Linked DNA regions of Drosophila melanogaster. The protein of the gene in region 1 interacts with the protein of each later gene in a pairwise test. Each region holds a gene or a part of one and is shown on either strand. Other genes may lie near its edges.

Evidence for each region. The genes of interacting proteins can lie anywhere in the genome.
Region 2: the proteins of CG15152 (region 1) and CG42661 interact in a two-hybrid assay, tested with the Drosophila melanogaster proteins (one large-scale study listed by BioGRID).
Region 3: the proteins of CG15152 (region 1) and CG1161 interact in a two-hybrid assay, tested with the Drosophila melanogaster proteins (one large-scale study listed by BioGRID).

Annotation. Positions count from the first base shown.
Region 1 is NT_033779.5:18,112,086-18,116,750, forward strand, and holds CG15152 (uncharacterized protein), read left to right. Parts: upstream 1-2,461; 5' UTR 2,462-2,597; coding exon 2,598-2,936; 3' UTR 2,937-3,135; downstream 3,136-4,665. Other genes in the region: CG44476 (uncharacterized protein), read right to left, coding at 757-985, 1,046-1,050.
Region 2 is NT_037436.4:7,462,840-7,469,822, forward strand, and holds CG42661 (uncharacterized protein), read left to right. Parts: upstream 1-2,669; 5' UTR 2,670-2,712; coding exon of another isoform or gene 2,713-2,775; intron 2,776-2,830; coding exon of another isoform or gene 2,831-2,998; intron 2,999-3,061; coding exon of another isoform or gene 3,062-3,190; intron 3,191-3,247; coding exon of another isoform or gene 3,248-3,316; 5' UTR 3,317-3,340; intron 3,341-3,407; 5' UTR 3,408-3,446; coding exon 3,447-3,509; intron 3,510-3,561; coding exon 3,562-3,729; intron 3,730-3,786; coding exon 3,787-3,912; intron 3,913-3,979; coding exon 3,980-4,048; 3' UTR 4,049-4,236; intron 4,237-4,289; 3' UTR 4,290-4,348; intron 4,349-4,413; 3' UTR 4,414-4,479; coding exon of another isoform or gene 4,480-4,581; intron 4,582-4,638; coding exon of another isoform or gene 4,639-4,824; 3' UTR 4,825-4,884; coding exon of another isoform or gene 4,885-5,019; intron 5,020-5,080; coding exon of another isoform or gene 5,081-5,257; intron 5,258-5,306; coding exon of another isoform or gene 5,307-5,423; 3' UTR 5,424-5,969; downstream 5,970-6,983. Other genes in the region: CG42660 (uncharacterized protein), read left to right, coding at 2,713-2,775, 2,831-2,998, 3,062-3,190, 3,248-3,316; Tsp66A (tetraspanin 66A), read left to right, coding at 4,480-4,581, 4,639-4,824, 4,885-5,019, 5,081-5,257, 5,307-5,423; CG8543 (uncharacterized protein), read right to left, coding at 6,737-6,983.
Region 3 is NT_033777.3:5,352,308-5,357,762, reverse strand, and holds CG1161 (uncharacterized protein), read right to left. Parts: upstream 2,672-5,455; 5' UTR 2,579-2,671; coding exon 2,510-2,578; intron 2,437-2,509; coding exon 2,213-2,436; intron 1,930-2,212; coding exon 1,821-1,929; intron 1,761-1,820; coding exon 1,635-1,760; coding exon of another isoform or gene 1,497-1,634; exon of another isoform or gene 1,339-1,496; coding exon 1,183-1,338; 3' UTR 1,015-1,182; downstream 1-1,014. Other genes in the region: Prosbeta7 (proteasome beta7 subunit), read left to right, coding at 1-408, 480-632; CG11999 (uncharacterized protein), read left to right, coding at 3,142-3,202, 3,330-3,919.

The sequences.
Region 1 (4,665 bases):
AACAGGCAAGCTAAAAAGCTGAATAGCCGCGGCAAGGGCGCCTTTAAACCATCAAGTAAGTCGCTATAATTCGCGCGCACCGCCTCATGAATTTTTGATTCTTTCTTAGCATTTTTCACTCCGCCAGTCATTCTATCGCTTTCCATTTAATCTGAGTCTTAGCTTTGAATAATGAGCCCTGGCCAAGGTGCGAAGAACTGGGCCAAACTCGAGGGGGTTATCTATAAGCCGGGTTGATATGAAAAGTTCACACTGGGTAAGTAATTGCCTAATTCGAATGCATCGAAATGATAAAGTGAATTTAGTGTACCTTTCGAAAAATAAAAGTAACAATCTCCCATTAAAAAAACACAAACAGTAGACAGTCTGATTTTCGATATTATTTAAAAGTGAACACATTGTTGCACAATCGGTAAACAAGATCCGGAGTAGATCATCGAGCAAGATGTACAAGTTTTGTTGATGCGCTGAAGGAACTAAAAATGCCACAGAGGCAACTGCGAGTTTTCTCATATTTTTTTCCGCCGACTCTGCACTTTCTTTAAAAACCGCTGACTGATGCATGCTGATGACTTTGTCAACAACTTAAATTGTTTGGTGGCAATAAAGTGGACTGAAGTTTAAGTACATTTAGGACAGAAGGCAGCTTTCATTTTCTTCTAATGCAAACAAGTTAGCCCAGCTAAGCAGGATACATAATGCAATCAAATTAACTAGCGCTTGATACGTACTCAAAATCATTTTAAAATCCCTTTTTTAATTCCATCGTTTGTAGATGTATATGGACAGAACAATTAAAAGCATGCAAAAATTATAAAGAACACATAAGCCAACGAAATTAAAGTTTTGCAAAAAAGTATATGGCCTTGAGTCTTCCTCAGTTAATATTTCCATATTAGAGTCGTTATGAATCGCATCGGTTTGTTCTTGGTCCACTCCGTTGAGGGTGCAACTATCTCTATCCAATAAGACATCTTTTTCTTCACTTTAAATAAACAAATTATCACTTTAATGCTTTTGAAATACTTTCAAATAAGTATTATACCCCATTTTTTTGGAGGCACTCTGATCTTTTCAGCTTGAAGGCTCTGTATAAACTGGATGAAGGCACTCATCTGCAAACATGAAAAAATATTCAAGGGAATCGAATTCAAGAACGGAGGCACACTGTACTAAAATCTTTCGGATCGTATGCAGCTTGCACCATTAAAAATGATAATATATTGACAAATTTTTAAGGGACTACCGTCCTAAGTAAAACTATATAAGAGGTATCTGTAAAGTAAGTCTGAGATCACAAGTACATTCATTAGATAAATAACTAAAATTAGTGTAAGAAAAAATATGAACTAATAAAATAATTATTTAAGAAAATTTCTGAGAGGAGTAAACTCACCATAAGAACCCTAGAAAGGGTATTTGTAAGTAAAAACCAAAGCTTTCAGAGAATTTGACTGAAACTAAGAGACAACATTAAAGAGAACCTCTCAAGACGGAAATATATACAGCTGCGGTTAAAATAATAGCACTACTGGAGGTGGAAAGTTCATTTCCTAAAAATAATTATTAAATGTTTATATTTTTTAAAGTCAGATTGCATGAATAATAAGTACCATATGTTGGCTCTCTGAGCAAGAAATTTATGGTCTCTCAATGTAAAGGTTCTTTTTGTTTTTGGGCACTTGCTGCAAAAGTGCGCGAAATGAGGCGGTAACAAAAATAGCACTGACCACGTATTTGCTGAATAATAGAGTGATTGCTTTGGGTTTTTTTCGACAAATTTTGAAAAAGGAGTTGTATTAAAGGTTTTAATTGAATTTTTTCCAAACGAAGACCAAAAGTTCTCTAGTCATGGGTCGCGGCAAGCATTTTACCGTCGAAAAAAGAAATTTGATTAAAAACATGATCTCTAAAGGTAAAAAATACGCTGAAATTGGTGGCATTGTGGGTTGTTCAAGCTAAATGATCCGCAAAGCACTGCTGTTTGTCGAAAAGAACGAAACACGGCGAAGAAAGCCCTCAATGTCGCTTGGTTAGGCAAGGCAAGAAGGAGCCTTTAAAGCCGGCGACGGAACTGAAGAAGGAGCTTCAGATAGCTGAAAGCGGGGAAACTGACAAAAAAGAGAATCTCTCAAGACGGAAACAGAGTGCCAGAAGTATATAAGTACTGAAATGCCTAATATATGAATGTAAAACATTTATCGCTTTTAATAGATTGTTATCAAAGTTGATAGGGTTTGATGATTCGTAAGTAAGCATAAATTGATAACGTAGAACAAATTGATCTCTCTTCGCAATCTCTTACTTCAATGTGATTTTCTTGTCATTTTGAGACTCTTCTCCGCTCTCGTTTGACGGGTTTTCTCAGACTTATATAGTTATCTTATCTGAGTCACAAGCAACAAAAAGAAGATTGTCAGCTCTTGACGGTTCACTGTTTGCCTTGTTGTTGCCTCAATTACCACCTTCTGCCGTGGCGATAATAACCCAGACCCCAAACTGATTGGTAATCATGAAAAAGAGGGAAGGAAAAAACCGCTGAAAATGCCCGGAGACCAGCGAATCGCTCTTTAGTCGAGAGCAGAACGCGTTTTGAAATGGACACGGATGAGACTAAGGCTGGAACCTCGGGTCCGGGGACGTACCACGATGAGGTTGACTTTACCAGCGGATACGAGACTCAGTATAAGAAGGAGTACAGCCCGCTGAAACCGATTTTTGTACCGCCGCCGGATAAAAAGCACGCCTGGTTTCGCAACTGGTCCACCATACTGATGGTCAGCTTCCTGTCCGGGGTGTTTATTCTGGGAACCGTGATGCTGGTGGTCCAAGTTTTCACCGCCAGTCCCCTGCAGATCTTCATGATCGTGGCTATATATGTGGCTATAGCCGCTGTGATGATTTGGCTGGAGGTGCAGTCTATAAAAGTGCGGTGAAATAATATGTACGTGTCGTGACTAATTTAGAGCGTTATCGCACTTACGAGCTACGTTCTGTTTTCAAACAGTGGCAATCGAACTGTGTTCTGCTAGCAAATGCAAAGCTTAACTAAAAAGGAAGCGGCTTTACTGATTAGGCGCTAAGAACAAAAAATCATGATTTAATATAAGTTCAAAGTAAAGAAAGAAATCCCATAATCCATGTGTTTTATTTTTGACTAGACAGTGCTTTTAACGTTTTCCGATAATTCCGGTTCAATTAACTAATTATTTACGGCCCATAAATGAACGTAATCTAGAGAGCGAAACAAGGTGGCCAGATAAAGGGCTTTGTGTGAGATAAGCAAACAAAAGTGAACGAAAGAATCACGAATTCAAGCCATTTAACTGCAAAATAAATACGCATTTTGTTTGTCGATGTATAAAGGACAAATGTTGTAGTGACACATTAAAGCTCCATACATCACAGAGATTAACAAAGCAAAGTACATAAAAAAGATTCCCTTATCAATTAACTAATTAAATTAAGCACGCTAATTAAAAATTCATTAATAGCGGCTTAGCGATGGAGAGTGGAAATTCAATTATTTAACGCTGTTGTTTATTAAAGGAAGTGTCACAAACCGCATCTGCGCCGGTGTTTGGCACACAAAATTATTAAAATTATTTCCACTCTCACTTGAAAAAGAAAAAATACAACGAATTTTCAACTATGCCAGTTCCCAATGGAAATAGTTCTCTAAATATTTTCACATTTGCATTTTTCTAAATCACTTCTGTAATTGCTTTTCACATGCCACTGCTGGAAAAACTCCGACTCCCTCAGAATTTTCCATGTTTTTACAACAGTTTTCTCACTTGTGTGTGCCATCAAGTTGGTAAAATTCTAGTTTAATAGCTTGAAATGTTACGAACATTTGGTCAGCGTAAAAACAGCCGGACAAGCTTATTTCTCACTTGGAAATTCTAAAAAAAAAAAACGTTGTCCCATTAAACTTTAATTTCCGTTGACAATGGACGACACTTTTTGCTCTTTCCGTTTTTTGGCCCCACTCGAGACGGAGGCAACAGCTGACTTACCTTAATTACTCACAGGATTCCGAGCCGTGCTAATTATTTGCAGGGTGCACTTTTCAGACGGAGTGCAGAAGTCGCCAGCGCATTTAATTATAATGGCGCAAAGGGCGTCGAGCTTAGGCATTAATGCCATTTCCGGTCGCCGACCACCGGATGCCACGGCGCCGAAACCGCCCCGCGGACACTTTGTAATGCCATGGAGCAAAAAACCGGGTTGGAAATGATTTCACAAATAAAAAGCAGTAGCAGATATAACATTTTAATATCAAGGAAATGTCGTTTAAATACATACAACTGAATATTTATCGGATTTATGGCACTACATGCATACAAATAAAGTAATTTCTAGCATTGAGCAAAAGAATCAAACAAATGTGGCTATATTTGTAATTAAGCCCGCCATATCTTAAATCTTAATTCGAAACTGCCTTCAATACATTTTTGAATGTAGCGACTAAGTATGCAGTAGAATAAGGAAAAACGTTTTAACTAAAGGTGCCGCAAAGCGGTGCTTAAACCGTTTTGTGATAAACAACAATACAACCTTGAGCCAAAACAAGAAAAACGTTCGATATGCACATGCATTATTTTGCATTGATTTATTGCTCGATTGCCTGCTGGCTCAATATTGTACATAAAAGGCATTTAA
Region 2 (6,983 bases), on another chromosome or scaffold:
CACACTCATATGCAAGTTTGAATGGAGTTACACAAGAAAAAAAATCGACATAAGTCTGTCTTGCAATTGTGAAAACTTATTAGCGGGTAAAAAAATGGTAAAGCTGTTTCGAAAGGTCAAGAACAGGCAGGGGCTACGAATATGTTAATATGATATGTTATCTTAATGGGTTTTATCCTAATTCTAAATTACATGTAAAGGTGGCTGAGAGCATGCTTTAAAATATATATTTTTCTCTCTGCATAAAAAGTAAGAAATATCTTTAGGGTCGAGGGTCAAAAAGGGGTTTAAACTGCGGGTCAGCTTTTGTGTGGCATTGGATTGGTCTGCGGCGTTTCCGGTTTTCGAGTATACGTTATTAGCTCACTGGGCGTGGATGCGGTCCAGCAGGGTCTGAATTTTACGATTTCATTCATTTTTGTGGCTGCCATTTGGCGCCGCAAAATATGCAACTAAATTTTATTTGCAGAAATAAGAGCTCAAGACCTTGGCTGGCATAAAAATAATATTGGGCAATGCTTTGGAAGTAAGTGTGAAAAACCCCTTGAAGGCACTCGTTCCAAAGAATTTATCAATTAGAATAGTAGCTGAAAAACACAGCATCCGTGTAATAAAGCACGTAACAGAGTGAGGGGAAAAGTGCTACGATGGACAATAAAAAAACATACCGAATAGAGTGTGGTAAAATTGGGTGAAAGAGGAAACATCACACAAATCTGAAAACCATAAAAGTGTCGCTTTCAATTGTTACCCCAAACTCGGAACTACAGGCGACAATCGAAGCCAACAAGTGAAATTGAAACGTTCAATGGATAGTGCGGAGTCCTGAAAGGATGCATGTGGACAGAGGGGCGTGGAAAGGAAACAGGATGGATGAGGGTGCTCTAGAAGCTCACAGGCACAAATTGATGATGATGTAGTGTGTGTGTGCCTGCAACTGTGTGGCAGGATGCTGGATGCGAGATTTTTTATGCATCCTGACTTGGGCTTCAGGGCCTCAAAATATTATTTATGCATTTAATATTTATAAGTACTCTTGTCTTAACCTATTTTTGGAAGAATGTTAACATAAAATTATATTAAAAATATGAATTTTCACTTTTGATAGAGTAGCACAAATCCCCAGTGATTTTTATTCCAATACTTTATTACGTTCTCAGCTGAACTGAGAATGATGCCAGCGATGATTGACACCACGCCCGGCAATAAATTTTTAATTTTCAATGCTCCCCTAGAGACTGATGCTCTGATGGACCCCTGTCCACATCCTTTCCTCCAGTGAGCTTGTTAAATTCAAATTAGAACGATGCCAGGAGCTGCGCTCTATGCGAGAAGTTGCCGCTGACAGCGAAGATAAATGACACAGAACTGCGATCGCAACAAATTAACCTTGTTAGAGGCTGCAGCACAGGCAAAGGCGGGGCCAGGACATAACTCCGGAGCAGTGGTAACGGCAAGGACTCCGGCCCGAGGACACCAGTTACAAGTGTATGTAATTTTTTATCGTCTGCGACTTTCGACTCCACTCTCCCACTGACGACGACTGACTTATGAATGGCGTGTGCCAAGTTGAGTCGAGACAAAGCACTGGAAGAAATTGTATGGGCTTAAAAATAATAATATATAGTTCAACAAAAAATAACTTATTTTTGTATCGCTAGAAATGATACAATTAGATTTATATGATTTTAGTATGATTTAGTAATGTGAAGGATACTTTAAAGATTCATTCAAAAAACTGTTTAGGTACCCCTAACCTGAGAACAAACATTGCAGTACACTTGAACTACATGTATATTTTTTAAGTGCCTTGAATTTCCTGCTACTGCCACTGCTTTGGAGTCGATAAATCAGTTTGTGTATCAAATTGAATTCACGAGCGTGCACATGACACCAGCCCACGCACATTTATCAGCCGATTCAGGCGAATCATGCGGAGCATGAACTTTAACTCCACCGGTTTTCGGCAAACCGCAAAATTTTAATCTCAACTAAGAGCTTACAAGAAAATAAAATCCATCGCCCGTTTGCATTATAAATTATTCATTACGAAAACGCAACCGCGACACGCCCACATTTTTTTTTTTTTTTGAGCCAAGTAAATGAACGCCTGCCGCCGACAGGCGCTCGTTTGCACCTAATTTGATTTTTAGTTGCTGCTCCTTTTGGTGGCGAGTCTGCGGTCGGTTCGCTTGGCATTCCATACCCAGCAGCAGCAGCTGCCCCACCCATATGGCATTTGAAGCCATCTCGCAGATTCTAGCTCACAAATACAGGCGCCCACACGAAGAAGGACTCGGCAGCGCATCCTGTTTTCTTTCATTCATTCCAGCGCGGCTGGCTGTCGAAAAAATGTCTGTCATGTGGCTAGAGAATTTTGCAGTAATTAATGGCAACTGTTTGATTAAAAAATTCCACAGCAGCTCAACATGCAGGGATGTGTACGGGTTTTAGTTCTAGTTTTCCACGCCCCCAAGCCGTTTTCCATTACCAAACGCGGTCAAAAGCTGCGATGCTGAATAAATCTATGCAAATTCCACAGATTTCTTAAAGTCCTTTTTCAAGCTCTTCGAACGTTGAATGAAGCAAAGAAGTATAAATTTATGAAAATAACCCAATTTATTTGTTTATTTAACACTTGAGAACAATGTCAATTGGATTACCATTTGCAAAAATCTAAATGTTAAATTTTTTATTTTCATCTGAGCTATAATGTGCATTTGCTCAACTCGTGTACTCAAAATCGTTCTTTTGGCATTCATACATCTTGCCGCAGTGAGTTGAATAGACACCCGTTCATGTCAAATTACTGTTGACGCATTTTTTTAAGGGATTTAATGGCGCGCAAATAGCGAAGGACATTACTTTGCTGGATAAACTGGTGGGTCACCATCATGTTATGCTTACTATAAGTCTAGCACTATGTGTTATCATACTAGTTGTTCTCTTAGTTGCCATTTTTGCTGCTATTCGTCATCATATATTGGCTTTAAACGTGGTGCGTAGCTTTGAATTATTCAAAAATAATTATTGTATTCAAAATATTGTACAACTTTTTCAGACGCTTGTTTTCTTGATTTTTAAGTGTGTAGCAAAGGGTATTATCGTAATCGTTTGCGTATTAACCGCAGAAACAGGTATTGAAAATACTGCCGCACATTTTTGGTTCTTTCTATGCTGGAAATTCACGGTGCGTATTTCATTTAATTGGATTGGTGATAAAATAATCTTAATTAATTCAAAATAGTGTTGCTGTATGCTCTTTAATCTATTCTTTTATATACGGCTAACAGAGAATTCAAGACAAGCTGACTAATTCTTATAAAGAGTATTGATTGTGGTAAGGATTTGTAAAACTTGTAAACTTTTCAGAAAATTCTAAACTTTTTTCCACACATTTGTTTTAGTTCTTCGAACGAAATATTTTCAAATTCTATCTTGACAGAATGTGCTTTTGTCCGACACTTGGTCTCAAAATTGTACTTTTGTTAGTAATACCTATAACCGCAGTAAGTTGGATGCTCATTTGATTGATTAACCAATTCAATATTCAATTGGCAGGGAATTAATGGTGCTCAAATAGCCAAAGATGTTTCTATATTGAATTTATTAAAGGGATACCATTATATTATGCTTATTATAAGCCTATCCCTGTCCGTAGTTATACTGGCGACTCTGGTTCTTTTAATATATGCGGCGATCTGTAATAAAATTCGAATTCTGAAAGTGGTTCGTTAGCATGAGGTTTTAAAAATCATTGAGTTAAATTTTTGATGTAATTTTCAGATGATCTTTGTTTATGTAGCCATCGTCGTGGTGAAACTGATAATTCTGTTCGTGTGTCTAAGTACTGAATTGAATCCTGACAAGACGACAGCCCATCCCATATTTATGATATGCTGGCTCCTTACGGTAAGGTTATACAGACATTCAAATTATATAACTATGTATTAACCAAGTTTTTCCGACAACTGAATAGTTCTTATGTATGGCCGTTATAATAATATACTGGCTTCGGCTACATGACCTTGCCAACGAAGACAATTAGACTGGTATTGAAATGAATACTATGAATACTATGAATACTATCTGGCATAAACGCAAAATATCGTATTACCTCCTCATTAGATCCGTCATTGTGATTTTCAGTGATTAATGTTAAGATATTAACTATGTCGAATAACCAACTGCATTAGAGCAAAAACGGAAACTCACTGGAAACTTCATTAATGAATTGTAAGTATCTGTCAACTTGGGATTTTAGAACTTAACATCTTGTCTTTTGTAAGCAATTGGAGTTAATACCAAAAGCTAGCTGAATTTGCAAATTATAATGGACATCGTATTGGTATTGAAAAACATAGTATCGCTAATTGTCAACCGAAAAAATTCTGTTTTTTTTTTTTAAAGCAGTTATACCATCGAAAGCAGTGTCATTTTAGGTCAAAAATATATATATTCGTATTTTTCGGATAAAATATGGTGGATAATGAGGAAACGGGATGCCTTCAAAGATTACTCAGCGTTGGAAAGCTACAGATTTGCAAGTTCATAATCTACTTTGTGTGGTTGGTCAATTTCGTAGGTAATATCATGGAAGCGAAGAAAAAACCACTACAAAGGTGTTCCCACCCACAGATTTTCAGCTGTGCGGATATTTACATATACTATTTCATACTGAAGGAACACATGCCTTGCTGGGATTGTTTGTTCAGGTCCTACATGATAATCGCTCTAACCGTAAATGCCCTAATGGCGCCGCTGCTGATAGTCGGTTTTTTCTTCATATATTCGCATTTATGCCGCGAAATACGCATTGTAATTGTTTGTAAACATTATTTTTAAAAACACAGCGATTGCCAAGATTGTATTTAAATTTTACAGTATGCCACAGTACTCTTCCTGGCAACATGGTTGCAGATGATGCTGACTATACTGTTTGCACAACAGTACCAAATTGTTGGAGATGTACTTCGAATATGGATGAATCGCAAGAGTTTGGAATTCTACGAAAGTCGCGTAAGAGTTTCGCAATAATATTATATTAAGTAGTAAAGTTACCCACTTCGTTTATTAAAAGTGCCAGTGCTGCGGAGTTTTGGGACCTGACGACTACAAGTTGGGCGATCTGAATATCCCAAAATCCTGTTACAAGAATGGCAGTGAAAGGGATGAGGACCTGTACCGATCAGGCTGCTCCACGCGCTCCATAAAGCCCGCGTCGCCCATCATCCATGTGATCTCCTTCGTAATTCAGGTGAGTAGTGGTCGGGTGTTTCGAATTCTAACGCTAAAAACCATTTTAGTATGTTTTAGTCATATGCATTGAGGTATTCCTTATTATCCTGTTAAGGAGCAAATCCCAACCCACAAGTATGTGGTCTGAGCGGGTCACCGAAAGGTTTGGTAGTGTAAAAAAGTGACTTGCAGTTCTATTCGGATTTGGGAAGCAATCCTAAAGAACATCTCTGAACTTTAGGGCTATTTTCCAACATTGCATGGAACTTAAGCAGCAGATTTTCATGTGAATTGCAATTTTGGGTGCGGTTTTCAATTCACATTGTACCGGGCATGAGTATTGGCATTCTGGCGGGCGAGACAAATTGGATGCTGCCGGCTATCGTCATATTTCACGGACTGCAATCAATAACGATAAACACTTGAGTCGCAAATCCAATGTCCAGAATCCTGTCCAACAACGGCATGCATATGGATGAGCCAATAAAGAAATCAACAAAGCATGTCGGGCGATTGAAAAAGTATTGCAAATACCCCGGATAGCTGGGGATTCGGACACGGAATTGGACTCCAATCCGGACAATATGCAAATGCAGCTAAGCAGAAAATATTCAAGGACGATCCAGCCCCACCCCCTTCAACAAACGCTCAAGTTTATATATTCATTTTGTGTCCCTCGTCCCGCGCATAAATTTTATTGTTGTCAACATTAAATTCTAGTCGTGAAAAACAATTTTGCAGCATTTGAAAATCCATAAAATATGCATACGAAATTGTCCGCCGGAACGACCAACTTTATGGCTAAATAGTTTGCTCCGGCCCACATCGTTAATGCCTTTTTTATGCGTTGTATTTGGGTGTTGGGTAAACTTTTTAGCCGCCATAACAATAACGGCAGCAAAAGCAACCACACTTTGGTCAAGCTGCTGAAATATCCAGTGCAAAGTTCATAGATAAAGGGAAGGGATACAAAGACGAAGTCGCAGGCGAAAAGGGTCATGTGGCTCATTAAACTTTGGCCAACAATTTTTTGTTGCACCCCCCAACCGGCAAAGACAAACAGAAAGTTTTGCACTAAATATTTGCGCCCTCGCAAAAAAAAAAACTAGGAAAACAGAATGAAAAGGGTTTTTGAGGTGAGTGGCCATGGTTTCCGGGGATTTAAAATGGTTGCAACAATTCTTAGCACACATACGCCCCATTAAACGCTAGAAAAATTATATGTTAAGAGCTAAAACAAAAAGGGTGAAAGTGTTTCTTTAAATTGATGTTATTAAATCGTTTTATATGGGAAGTTCTTCAGAATATATGATCATAAAATTAGATTTATGACTGACCCCTTTTACAATGTTTAAACTTTAATTCTTTGCTTACTTGAACAACCTTTTTACCTTTGCAATTGCAGGAAATAATAATTCGTGCTTGATTCAGTTATAAACGGATTTTATTTCGTACAGACAATTCAACAAAGTGTCAACAAAGGTTGGGATGACCTGACCTAGTATCCCCAGTGGGATCCGAATCCATCGAAGCTGGCGTGGGCAACCACGGCGGCGGGCGAGTACTTCACATAGGCGGCGGGAGCAGCAGCCACCAGAGGAGCAGGAGCGTGGTAAACTGGAGCAGGAGCGGAGTACACGGTCTTGGCCACGACTGGAGCTGGAGCGGAGTAGACTGGAGCTGGGGCGGCATAGACAGCCTTGGCGACGGGAGCAGAGTACACGGTCTTGGCCACGACTGGAGCT
Region 3 (5,455 bases), on another chromosome or scaffold:
GCCCGCTACCAAAACATTGAGCGCGTCTTTAAGGTCAACAAGAACATCCTGCTCGGCGGGAGCGGCGACTTCGCTGACATCCAGTCCATCAAGCGCAACATCGACCAGAAGATGATCGAGGACCAGTGCTGCGACGACAACATCGAGATGAAGCCCAAGTCCTTGGCCAGTTGGATGACCCGTGTGCTCTACAACCGTCGTTCGCGGATGAACCCCCTCTACATTGACGTGGTTGTCGGCGGCGTGGACAACGAGGGGACTCCGTACCTGGCCAACGTGGATCTCCGTGGACGATCCTACGAGGACTACGTGGTGGCCACTGGTTTTGCCCGCCATTTGGCCGTTCCGCTGGTCCGTGAGAAGAAGCCCAAGGACAGGGACTTTACCGCCGTAGAAGCTTCCGAACTGGTAAGGAATTTCGAACTCTGATGGGGGGACTCTTCATTATTTAACTACCCTACCATTTTCTTATATTCTAGATCCGCACATGCATGGAGGTGCTTTACTACCGCGATACTCGTAATATTTCCCAATACACTGTGGGCGTGTGCAGCGTCAACGGATGCGGCGTGGAGGGGCCCTTCCAAGTTAACGAAAACTGGACATTCGCCGAAACCATAAAGGGATACTAGAGCCTCCGATTCTGAATGAACTTAGTTTAGGTCTAGCTCGGCGGTTTTGCATTAAAAAAAAACACTTGTCTAAGGATATGTGGTTACATGATTTATTAAAAATAAATGTGGCTGAAAATAATACGTTTAAAGTTATGGTTATTGTGTGATAGAAACTATCTTCGAGTTATTCTTTCGTTAATCTCTACTGATGGAATCAAAAAGTAGGCGTCAAACTAAGAAGCCCAAGGGAGTTTCCAAATCTAACTTGGACTCACCATTACGGTCTTACGTTCCTTATTTTCCCAAATTATAACCATCAATTATCATTAAAAGTTTTATTTTAGTGGATTTGTTGGTTATTCCTCCCGGCATTCAACTTATTAATTAATATGCAAACACTCCTGACAAACATATTTTGGTTTATTTTAATTAACATAAAATCTGGCTAAATATACAGATAATCAATTTGATCCAAAGGGGAATTTCGCAAAGGATAACTGCTTGGAATACGTGTCTTAAGTCGCCCATGCGCCTCCTAATCTCCGCCAGCTGCAAACCGAACCCCTTGTTAGTTTAGCATGGTATGCCTGTCGTAGATGTGGCGTCTCTGCTCGCGCACCTGCCGCTTCCACTTGTCCTGCTGGTGGCCCACACGATTGAGGACATTGGCTCTGGCACTGAGCTCCTGGTTGTTGACGGCTGGCAGGGGCGGCGTTGGTTCATCCTGGTTAGAAAAGGGTGGAAAAATGTGGAATTAGTCGAGGTGATCCAAGATCTGGCCGTGTTAGTTACTGTCTTAATGAAGTGACGGTGTGGGTTAGAAAGTCAACAAAATCTATAACGCAAAATGAAACAAAGGTGGTTGTGGAAATTAAAATCTATTCAAAAGAGTGGTGCTTCTTTATTGCCAACTAGTTGAGCCGCTTCGGCATCAACATCGTCATCTTCATCATCTTCGCCTTGGGCTGTAACTAGGAGGCTATACTGAATGCCCTTGTATCTAGAAAGCTTGTTATGTACATCTTCGTTGGTGTGCTCCTGGTAGTTCGCCTTCACTCGCTTGTTCAGCAACGGGTCCAGGCACATCAGGAAGAGCATGTATATTACTAAAATGGAGATGATCCAAATCACAATAATGACCACGACCTGGATGGGGGAGAGAGCTGGTTAAGTACGGACGGCTTTTGAGCACTCGAATTGACTCACCTTTATCAGCGTCGTATTTCTCGCCACATGGGAGCACTTGCACTCGGCGCATATGGGCAGCTCCTTGCCATTGGCATCCAAACGGGGCAGCAGGGCACCGGCACAGACGCTGAAATGGTAACGTGTAGCAGGTTGTTAAGAACTCCAACCTAACAGAATCACAAATTAAGCTCATTGATACCAAGATGCCTTATACATTTAGTAGCTGAAAAGTGAATACATTTGTGCAATACATGAACTATGATTCTTTGAAGCCTACGCAAACAACGTAAATTGAATTTAAAGTAGTAGAATCCAGTGGGACGAAAGGGATTGCAGCTTTAAAACTGCTCAAATGGACTAGACTTTAAGTTTCCAGATGCGGCAATTTCTGCCAGTGCAGTGCCACTTACCACTCAGTTGTGCTGCTGGAATTGGAAGAATTTTTGCCTGGAGCAGCGAGCACAGGCTGGCCGATGACCTTGGCCGGAGGGGCGGCAGTGGGAGCTGAAACTTGCTTGGCTAGTGGAGCTGCAGCCGCTGGAGCTGCAGGTGCAGGCACAGGAGCAGGTTGAGCATTGCTGTTGTTGTTGCTGTTGGTGCCGATCGCTGGGAATGTCTGCGCCGCAGTCTCAGCCTTTGTTGATTGTTTGAGGGGGAAATGAAAGCGGATTAGTGGGGCAGTCACGGGATGTGGCCAGTCATCATACCCATGTCACGCCAACCAAATAACATATCACCAGTAGCACCGCGTAGACGAACAGGCGCTTGTGTGCCATTAATTTTTCTTTAATTTCAATTTTCCTCAGTTTTCTTGCCTTTTATTGGAGAAAATTCCCTTGCAATTTCGCAGAGTGACCGTACTTGTCTGGTGCACAGAAAATACCAACAAATTGTCGCTCATCGAACTAGTTCCTTTTGGTGCAATTAGTTTTTAGGCTAATTATTAATAACTAATTATTTCCTTCACGATATAACGTTCATTTAATTCTAAAACAATCAAGAAATAAGTTTCTAGGCGTATCAATAAATCTGTGACGTCAAATTCGTAATCTGCTCTCTGAAAAGACTAATTATATTTTTCCTTTATTCAACATTTATTATATACATTAAGCTATTTTCCGTTAATGGAATAAGTTACAGCAATATGGAGTTTGTTATAGTATTATGTTTATTTTTTTCGGTGAGTCCATAATTTGGATTTTACCGCAGCCTGGTCACACCAGCACCGTCAAAAATAGCAATTGTTTGCGTGTGCAACGCTGATTTCAACCGTAATTGCCGGTACAGATTGACTGACTTAGGTCCACGGACTAGGATACGATAACTAGAACAGGACACGATGCAGCACATACTACTTCTTACAGGACTGGCGCTGGTAGGCAGCATTTCCAGGGGAGCCGGTAAGTGGCGACCTGAAACAAAGTCGCGTCTATGTGGTCTTCTCTGATTGGCCGCCCCTCTTTCTGAACCTTCCGTGGCCATAGTTAATGCTTATCTTATATTCTATCTTGACCCTGCTGAACACAGCCACCGAATCCAACGTGGTCACCTGCGGCTCCATCCTGAAGCTGCTCAACTCGGACTACGCCTTCCGCCTGCACTCCCACGACGTCAAGTACGGATCTGGTTCCGGGCAGCAGTCGGTGACGGGCGTGGAGCAGAAGGAGGACGTGAACAGCCACTGGGTGATCAAGGCGCAGACCGGCGAGCTTTGTGAAAGGGGCGAGCCCATCGCCTGCGGATCCACCGTGCGACTGGAGCACCTGTCCACCAAGAAGAACCTGCACTCGCACCACTTTTCGTCGCCGCTCTCAGGCGAGCAGGAGGTGTCCGCGTACGGAACGGATGGACTCGGCGACACCGGCGACCACTGGGAGGTGGTCTGCTCCAACGAGAACTGGATGCGCAGTGCCCACGTTAGGCTGCGCCACATCGACACCGGCATGTACCTGGGCATGTCCGGCCGCTCCTATGGCAGACCCATCTCCGGCCAAATGGAAATCGTTGGCGTCCACAAGCCGCAGCACGGAACGCGCTGGACCACGGCGGAGGGCCTCTTTATCGTGCCCAAGGAGAAGAGCTCAACGCACGACGAGTACGCCCACTCGGAGCTGTAGTGCTCCCTAAGGACCTCGACTGCTGCAGTTTCATACTACTATTAGTTCTGTAATTTATAACTTAGTTGAATTTTTATTGAAGACCCCAAAAGCAAACCATCAAATTAAAATTATTTAAACTCAGGGTACTTCGAAACTTTCAGATTGCTTTCATCGAAAGTTATGTATTCTATGTATGTATTATGTATTCTATCTAGAAAGTGCCTTGCATAAAGGCAGTCGTAAGAACCACTTAGCTTAAATGCATTGCAACAAATGGGGGCGTCTATAGAGCCCTTTTTAAGGTAGTGAAACCTCAGTTGCAATCTAACTTTTCTAAATTTTTCTAGAACTTTGATTGATTGTCTACTTAGTCAGTTGCAGGCACACAAATGCTTTTTTATTTTTATGTAACCTTTTATATTTTAAACGGGTATTTTGAGGCAATAGTACTCTTTCTGTTGGCATTACTGCAGTTAATACAGATGTATCTATTCCATGTAGTGCTGAAAGACATGCGTAGGTTACCAGGTGCTAATAGCGTGTTCGTGTCACTTTTCTACTACTCATTGATGATTAAGACTGATTGCATTTGGCGGAAAATGTCGATATCTTTGAACTCCAACAGAAGGTATCCCATGCCGGATTGACAGCCCTTTAGCTTGAAGCTAAAGCGGGAAGTATCCTTGCAGATGCAGCCGTAGGGCGTCACTCGCATTTCGCGAAAGGTGCTCCCCATTCCTTCGGATGTTTTTGTTTGCATGCATAAAACAATGGGGCTTATTCCGACCATACAAGCTATGTATATACATTTTGCCATTGCTCGCGGTTTCCGCTCCCTTGCTGCCCCGATATCGTCACGTCCATTATCTGCTCGTCTGTTTTGTGTTTCTTTTGTTTGGGCCATTGTCAACGCTTTGTCTGCTCATCCTCCGGGCCATGTCCTCATCCTCCGCTGCCTCCGCCTCCTTCGCATCCCCGTAATCCCAACTGATTGTGGACCCAGTAAGGTCAAAGTGTTAGCTGATCTAACCCAGCGCACAGTCGTTTATAGATTCTCATAATCGGGTTGTCCTTGTAACCATTTTGCACAAATAAGAAATGGAAACAAGGATACTCGTTCTACTAGTCTGATGAGCGATGTTGTCCCCAGCAGGAAATCTTAGCAAGATCCACCATCTGAAGATAACCCTCAACTCCGTAATTTCATGCTTTACGATGCAAATACTGGAAGTATCAAGCTTTGAATCTTGTGTCAACTATTCCTGATTGGAAATTCTGTACAGCAATTATTATAGACTTTCAATAAATTGTCATAAATAGTATATGGAATATGGATAGCACATAGCTGTCCACGATGTCATATTACCAGAACATAGTATCGGAGAGTATAAAACACTTTAGTTGTCGATTACCATCTGAGCATGTTAAACTTTGTATAGTGAACCAAATGTTTTTCCACGGCTTAGTATAAAAGTCTTCTTCATTTTGCTTATATTGCTACAGAAATGAACGTCTTAACATTATATATAATCCTTTAAAATTGATCAATTATCG